Linked DNA regions of Rattus norvegicus. The main gene of each other region encodes a partner of the protein of the gene in region 2 in a complex. Links are inferred from orthologs where the notes say so. Each region holds a gene or a part of one and is shown on either strand. Other genes may lie near its edges.

Region 1 (4,324 bases), on a different chromosome or scaffold from region 2:
CTCAGTAACAAGGCCCAGCATGGACTAGTGGACCTCGAAGGCTCTCCTCTAGACGTCTACAGTCTGTTGGCTGAATTTTAACTCGAGTCACCGTCGCCCTAACTCTCCTCTGAACAAAAAGTTCAGTGCCACAAATCTCCCTGTTAGGGCTGGAGTTGGCCTCTCTGATAGTTGGCTCAGCAGTTAACAGTTAACAGCACTTGTTCTTAAAAAGAACCAGAAACCAATTCCCAGCACCCACTTGGTGGTTCACAACCATCCCATAACTGTAGCCTGAGGGAATCTAAGGTCCTCTTCTGACCTCCACAGACACCCACATGATGCACATACATGCACTCAAGTGAAGCACTCATACACACAAAATAACAAAATAAATAAATTTATTAAAGAAAAGGAAAGTTTTATAAAAGCCTCTAAGACAGAGGTAAAGAGAAGGTAAGTGTCACCACATTTCTCCCTTTGCTTAATCTCCCCAATTCCAGCAGTTAACCCCTTCACTGCTTTGTCTGTCCTAAGCAAAATATATTCCTTTTTAGTTTAGCCAACTTTTACAGCCAAACTACAGAAAATGTTAGACTTAATTTACTTCAGTATCCTCAAAGCCAAACACCTGGTAGAAAGCCTTAAATGTCTACTTGTTAAATCAACAAATTAAATCAATCAGAGAAGAAAACAGAGGTCAGAAGATGGCATCAGATCCCATGGAGCTACCAATGGTTCTGAGCCACCATGTGGGTGGTGTAAACCAAACCCAGGTCCTCAGCAAGAGCAGCAGCCGCCAGTGCTCTGAACTGCTGAGCCATTGCTCCAGGCCCCTCCTGAGTCTTCTCTTATTCCTCAAAAGCCCAAAGTGGCCTTGAACTCAGTAATCCTCCAGCCTCAGTCTTCTGAGTTGTAGGTTTTAGGCATGAGTCATCAGATTCCTATTTCAAAGTTTTCTTATCCTAAAATATCTTTGGTTTGGATATAAATATTCATGAGCTGCTTTATAAAGGCCAGGGACACCATCTCTAACTTTGACCCTCTTTTGAATTAAGTCAACATTTATTGAGCACCTTTTGTATACAGTGCTTTGTCATCCATTTTCACATTTAAGGTCACAGCAAACACAAGGAGCATATGTTATTTTCCCTCTAAAGATAAAGGAGCTGGAGAAAGGGTTCAATGGTTAAGAACGTTGCTGCTCTTCCTAAGGGCCTAGCTTTGATCCCAGCACCCACATGGTGACTGGAAAACATTATAATTCCAGTTTCAGGGGATCTGGTCTAATACCCTCTTCTGGTCTGGACTGCACAGGCAAATGCGCGCGCGCGCACACACACACACACACACACACACACACACACACACACAGAGACTGAGAGGCAGAGACAGAGACAGACAGAGAGGAAGATGTTTTAAAAACAGATATAAGGGGCTGGAGAGATGGCTCAGCGGTTAAGAGCACCCGACTGCTCTTCCAGAGGTCCTGAGTTCAATTCCCAGCAACCACATGGTGGCTCACAACCATCTGTAAAGAGATCTGATGCCCTCTTCTGGTGTATCTGAAGACAGCTACAGTGTACTTATATATAATAAATGAATAAATCTTATATTTAAAAAAAAAACAGATATAAAATTAAAAATAAATACATCTATAAAGATAAACTAAACACTGAACCATGCTAGGTGGTACAAGTCTGTGACACCAACCCTGAGAGGGAGAAGCAAAACAATATGGATCTCAAGGTTTTCCTTGGCTACATGGAGATTTTAAGGCCAGCCTGGGTCAAACATTTAAGACAGGGTGATTCAGAGAGCCTCGTCCCACACTAAGTAAAAAGCAGCAGACTTTGGCCCATCTGCTGTCTCAAGCCCTCCATGTACCCTGCCACCCCTCAGGGAGTCTATAGAGACCTCAGGAAAGCAATGACCCTGGAAGTCTCTAGTGGCCTCTGTGAAGCTGCCTCTTAGGCGCCTTCAGTTGCTGTTCTTGGTTTACAGTGTCACTGTCCTGTCTTCTCTTTCTCCCTGCCCGCTGCCTAGAAACATGCCAAAGGGAGGCCAAGACCGCAAGGGAAGAGGCTGAGCGAGCCCTCCGAGAGCAAGATGGAACCCTGACTGAGCTTCGCGCCCATGTGGCACACATGGAGGCCAAATATGAGGAGATCTTGCATGTAAGCACCACTACCTGTCAGCCGTCTCCTAATTCTCATAACCCTCCATCCCTTTGCCCCCAATTGATGTGATAACCCATGACCTAAGGGGGCCGTGCTCTGTCCTAAGTGTAAAGAGAAGGCATAACCGTTGACAGAGCAGTGACTTGTAATCCCAGAACCTGGGCAGCTAACACAGGGAGATTTTGAGCTACAAAGGCCAAGAGGCACTATAATGTACTATGCACCTGCTACACTGTGAGATCGAGACTCAAAATAATCAGGGGATTACGTCGTTATATGGTGTCAGGACTATACACCAAAATAGAGATATAGGTCGATATCTAGCCTAGTATGCAAGGCCATGAGTTCAATTCCAGGCACAGAACTAGGACCAGGGATAGGAAGAGGAGTGAGGAGAAGGAGCAGGGAAGAAAAGGAGTGCCGCAGTCTTGTAATCCTGCTATTCAGGAGAATGAGGCAGACAAGTCATAGGTTCAAGGCCAACCAAGCAAGGTACAAAGTTCAAGGCCAGCATAGGCAGTGTAGTAAGAGACTGTATCTCAAAATACAAATTAAAAGAGCTCTGGATACACAGCCCTGGGACAGGATACTTGTCTAGCATGTGTGAGGCCTGAGTGTTGGGGAGTTGGGGACAGCAGGCAGCAGCCAGGCATGATGGTTCACGTTTGAAATCTAATACTTGGGAAGATGAGGCAGGAGGTTTCTGAGTTCGAAGCTAGCCTGGACTACAAAGCAAAGTTATCTTACAAAAAGGAAGGAAGGGAGGGAGGGAGGGAGGGAGGGAGGGAGGGAGGGAGGGAGGGAGGGAAGTGAAGCACTCTTACTAATCAAGCCAGGCAACCTGAGGTGATGCACTCCTTCCCTCCCTCCCTGAGAGCTGAAAGCTTGCTGTTCACAGGACAACCTGAACTGTCTCTTGGCCAAGCTGAGAGCTGTCAAGCCTCAGTGGGATGCAGCCACGCTGAGGCTCCACACCAGACACAAGGAGCAGCTACGGCGATTTGGTCTCAACCCCCTGGATCTTTGAGGCCACTGGCCTCAAATCTCTAAATATCAATATCAATAAAGCAACCTGATGTAGAAGTCAATAGAACTGTAGATTGTGGCCTCTGGCAGTGAGGACATCTATTTTCTAGGTTAACCCATTGTCCCATTGTCCTAACCCCTGAGTGATAAGAAATAGACAATGTTCTAAACCCTTTCCTACAGAAACTAGATCCCATTCCCTATAGCCTGGAGTACCTTCAGTCCCTTCAAACTGCCTTGGCTTAAGTGGGCACGGTAGTGCATGCCTTTAATCCCCACACTTGGGAGGCAGGGGGATCTCTGAGTTTGAGGCCAGCCTGGTCTACAAAGCAAGTTTCAGGACAGCCAGGGCTATACGGAGAAACCCTGTCTTGAAAAACCGAAACAAAACAAAACAAAACTATTTTGGATTATCCTGACCAATAAAACACAAATCCAGATATCCAGATGTGTGTGTGTGTGTGTGTGTGTGCGTGCGCGTATACATTTATTTATTTATTTATTTATTTATTTATTTATTTATTTATTTATTTATTTGAACAGTAGCATACTTGTACTAAAGTGCTCATATAGATGTCAGAGGACAACCTCCAGGAGGTTCTACTGTATGGTTCTAGTGAGTGAACTCGGGTTGTCAGACTTAGAAGACAGCAGCTTTACCTACTCACCGGCCAACTGGAAAAGGCTACAACAGGACATTACAATAGCCAAGAACCAGCTCCCAAGATTCCTAGGTATCAGTAGAAGGAACATATGGCTCCAGTCCTTCTGCCACATGACAACAGCATCACGTGTCCCCTAGCTTCAGTCCTAAGTGGTTCCACAGCCTCATCTTCTTGAACAGAACTTCATCTTTGGGGCACAGCTCCCCAAAACTTCTGCATAACATCCTGTGGAGTCTCAGGCTCCCTTACTAGCCGGCCTGAGGTCTCCGTCTACACCCCTGTGCTGGAGGTAGGCTCATGAGAAAGAGGAAGGTCCCTGCAGTCCTGCGATCAGTAGTGTCCGAATCCTCCAGTTCCCACTTCCAACTTAGACTGTTCCTGGCTCCTCCCATCTCCGTGTGCAGAGCAAGGGCAGGAGAATAGGCGAGTCTATGCCAAGCAGGGATGTCCTATAGCAACTCTGAAGCCAGAGGC
Region 2 (3,245 bases):
CGGGGAGGGGACGAGAGGAGGAGAGGAGGAGAGGAGGAGAGACCTCTGCGCATCCCGCGTGGGGAAAGGCTGGCATTCACAGGCTGGGCCCGTGTTCCATCCAGGGCGGGCTGAGGAGGGCTGGGGAGGCTGTAGGCCACGCGAGGCAGGCAGGCAGGCAGGCAGCCCGCGGGCTGGGGCGTGCGGGTGGGGCTCGGGCAGGGGTGAGGGGCGCGGGGAAGGCAGGACGGGACGAGGGGCAGGCTGTTTTCTTAGGTGTGGGCTCTGTGTCGTCTGGGCTGTAGGCTCTGGGCTCTGGGATGAGGAGACACCTCTGCTCATGATTCTTTATACATATCCCTGTTCCTTGTTATTCGGGGCTTTCTGGGTCTTGTGGGCTCAAGGTGTGTTGGGTGGGCTGGCTGGGCTGGGGGGTGTGGGCAGCTGAGGGAATGCAGCAGGCTCTTGTTTATTTTTGGCGAGGGCTCTCGTCTATGTCCATACCACCCTGAACCTTTCCAGGAGGTTTGTGCAAAAGGTGGTGAATGCTAGCACTCACTGGCTGGCCCAAGGTCACAATGCAAATAGAAGTACCTATGATGGCTGGAATGTTTCAGGTGTGTTTGGCTGGTGTAATTTGTGCAGAGTTTGGAGGCTGTTGTATCACCAGGGCTCTAAGTGTCAGGAAGTGGACAAACGTCTCCCTAGCAGAGGGCTTGAGGAAACAATTTTTCACAAGGAGATAACACAGAAAGTAATCATGCAAAAACTTTCATTGGTGTTTGTTAAGTGTTCAAAACAAAACTTGTGCAGGGTGTGAATTCCCAGGGGAGAGGGGCAGAGTAACTGACAAGCTGCAGGCTGCTGTAGATGGCTATGTCGGCGCACCCACAAGTCCTGCAGGGCCCTGTCCCAGTGTCTGTCCAATCACTGCTGTCTCCAGGGGCTTGAACCCCACATTGTCCAGGGGGATCCCGAAGGCCAATAACTTTGCCTCATATGTACGCAACAGGTCGTTGTGGGCCTGCAAGGACAGAGCAAGGTCAAGAAGAGTCCACTTGGGCCTGGGAGTCGCAGCCATCATGCTATGGACCCCAAATGTCCCCTCTGTCTGCTGAAGGTGTAGGGTGGTCCACAGAGCTCCAATTAGGATAGCCAGTGCCTTCTGTAGTCTAGAGCCTCGCTTGCGTATGCCTGTAGCTCACATACTCACAAGGCCAGACTCAGGAGAACCGGAGCTCCTGGCCCTTTCCCAAATATTTCTCCCTAAGGCTCTCCTCTCCTTCCCTGCCAAGATGGACTGACATCTAATCCCTGTCCCTGGAGACCACATCCCCTCCAACTCCCCAGTGACACGCAGGGGTATGGTGTGTGTTTGTGGGGGTGGGGGGGTTGGGCCCCTGGAATGGTGCTGGTGGCCAACAAAGACAGGGGACTTCCTCTGAGGGAGCTTGCTCTTTTTTTTTTTTTTTTTTTTTTTTCCCTTTTCTCTTTTTGAATCCAGGGCCTTGTGCTTGCTAGGCAAGCACTCTACTACTGAGCTAAATCCCCAACACTGAGGGAGCTTGATCTTAATCCTGTTTTCGTTTTTTGGTGTTTTGTTTTTATGTGGGAAAAGGCCCCACTATGTAGCCTGGGCTAGAACTTGCTGTATCCCCAGAATGGCCTCACACTCAAAATCTCACTGCTTCACTTTTCCCTGCAGTGATTCTGGAACCACTCCCCAGGCCACGTCCTGTGCTCAGGAGTGGTGACCAAAAGAAGGTTTCAGTTTTGTTTCTGTTGACTTTTTGTTTCATTTTTGTGGAGTTTTTTTTTTTTTGTTTGTTTGTTTGTTTTTGAGAGAGAGAAAGACAGAAGGGGGCAGGAGAGCGAGCATACAGCTGGAGGTGGGGTAGGTAGGAAGACTTTTGGGAAAGGAAAAACATCCAAATATAGTGTGAGAAAATTTTTAATGATTAAAGTCACTACTGTCTTGGCCGGGTGAGTGCTAAGATTACAAGATTACAGTACACACCTTGTTAAATGGGTGTTTTTTCTCCTCTTTATGCAGGATCCCTAAATAGCCCTTGATGGCCTGGAACTTGCTATATACACCAGGCTGGCCTAGAATTAAACACCATCCACCTGCTCCTGTCTCTTGAGAGGTGGGATTAAAGGGGATATGCCACCACACCTTGTAGTTTAGTGCTTTTTATTGTTACTACACACATGTATGGGAAGGCACGCACAGCTTATGTGCAGATGCCCTAAAAGGCCAGAAGAGAAAGTCTGACTCCTTGGTGCAGAAGTTACAGGCAGCTGTGAGCTTCCCCCATGTGGATGCTGAACAAAACTCCACTGATGTCAACAACCCCAAATGCACATTTTAACTGGGAGCCTTTCATCAGGTAGCTGTGAAGTCTTGGTCTGAGAGAGGGCCTCACTCTGCAGCACAGGCTGCCCTTGAGCCCAAGCTCCGCCTGCCTCTGGCTCAGAGGTGTTGATGAATTGAGTGGAATGAGAAATGCTTTGAGCCTACCCAAATGTTCACAGCAGACGGCAGAAGGGTTCCTGAGCTGGGGGTGTAGCACACACCTTTAATCCCAGTCTCAGGAGGCAGAGATGGACAGATCTCTGTGACTTCCAAGCTAACCAGGGCCATACAGTGGGTCTGTGTCTCAAACAGAGCCAGAGAAAAGGGCCAGGAGGAGATGGTGCAGGCAGGTGGATCTTGGAGTTCAAGGCTAGCCTGGTCTACAGAGCAAGTTCCTGGACAGTCAGGGCTACACGGAGAAACCCGGACTGGAAACCAAACAGAGAAGAAGAAAAGGGTTGGTTATCCTCACTGAGGCTCAGGGAAGAGAAGCAGTGCTTGAAAACGGAGAGAAAGGGCCAAGTAAAAATGGGCTCCAGCGGGAGCTTCAAGGACTGGGCTGGCTACCAACACTCTAGGTCCAGACCTTGGCCCCCAAGAGCCAAGGTACACACAGCAGACTGCCCTATGCTCAGCCCATGTCAGCTGAGGATCAGGTGTGAGAAGCTCTAACCTGGGCTCTAGGGAGAGCTGGGAAGCTGGGGCAGCTGGGATAGCATGGATCCTGGGCCACAGTAACAGATGCTGCTCACTTCTATTAGCAATCAAACAGGATGGCATGCATGTCTGGATGAGGCCCTGAACTGAACAGGAATGCAATGCCTGCCCAACAGGACTAAGAATGTAACCTGTGAGGTGGCTGCTGTGGGTATGTCCTTGGCGGACAGGGAGCAAAGGAAGGACAGTAGAC

The links.
Region 1: Gas8 (region 2) and Drc12 share a complex: the UniProt entries of both Homo sapiens proteins name them as parts of the nexin-dynein regulatory complex. The link is inferred for Rattus norvegicus from reciprocal best matches to the Homo sapiens genes DRC4 and DRC12.

The regions. Positions count from the first base shown.
Region 1 is NC_086026.1:53,477,538-53,481,861, forward strand, and holds the end of Drc12 (coiled-coil domain-containing protein 153), read left to right. Parts: intron 1-2,025; coding exon 2,026-2,156; intron 2,157-3,034; coding exon of another isoform or gene 3,035-3,040; exon of another isoform or gene 3,041-3,057; coding exon 3,058-3,186; 3' UTR 3,187-3,627; downstream 3,628-4,324. Other genes in the region: Nherf4 (Na(+)/H(+) exchange regulatory cofactor NHE-RF4), read right to left, coding at 4,300-4,324. UniProt on the Homo sapiens protein: Component of the nexin-dynein regulatory complex (N-DRC), a key regulator of ciliary/flagellar motility which maintains the alignment and integrity of the distal axoneme and regulates microtubule sliding in motile axonemes.
Region 2 is NC_086037.1:68,478,300-68,481,544, reverse strand, and holds the end of Gas8 (dynein regulatory complex subunit 4), read right to left. Parts: intron 2,764-3,245; coding exon of another isoform or gene 2,716-2,763; exon of another isoform or gene 1,915-2,715; intron 1,004-1,914; coding exon 854-1,003; 3' UTR 738-853; downstream 1-737. UniProt on the Homo sapiens protein: Component of the nexin-dynein regulatory complex (N-DRC), a key regulator of ciliary/flagellar motility which maintains the alignment and integrity of the distal axoneme and regulates microtubule sliding in motile axonemes.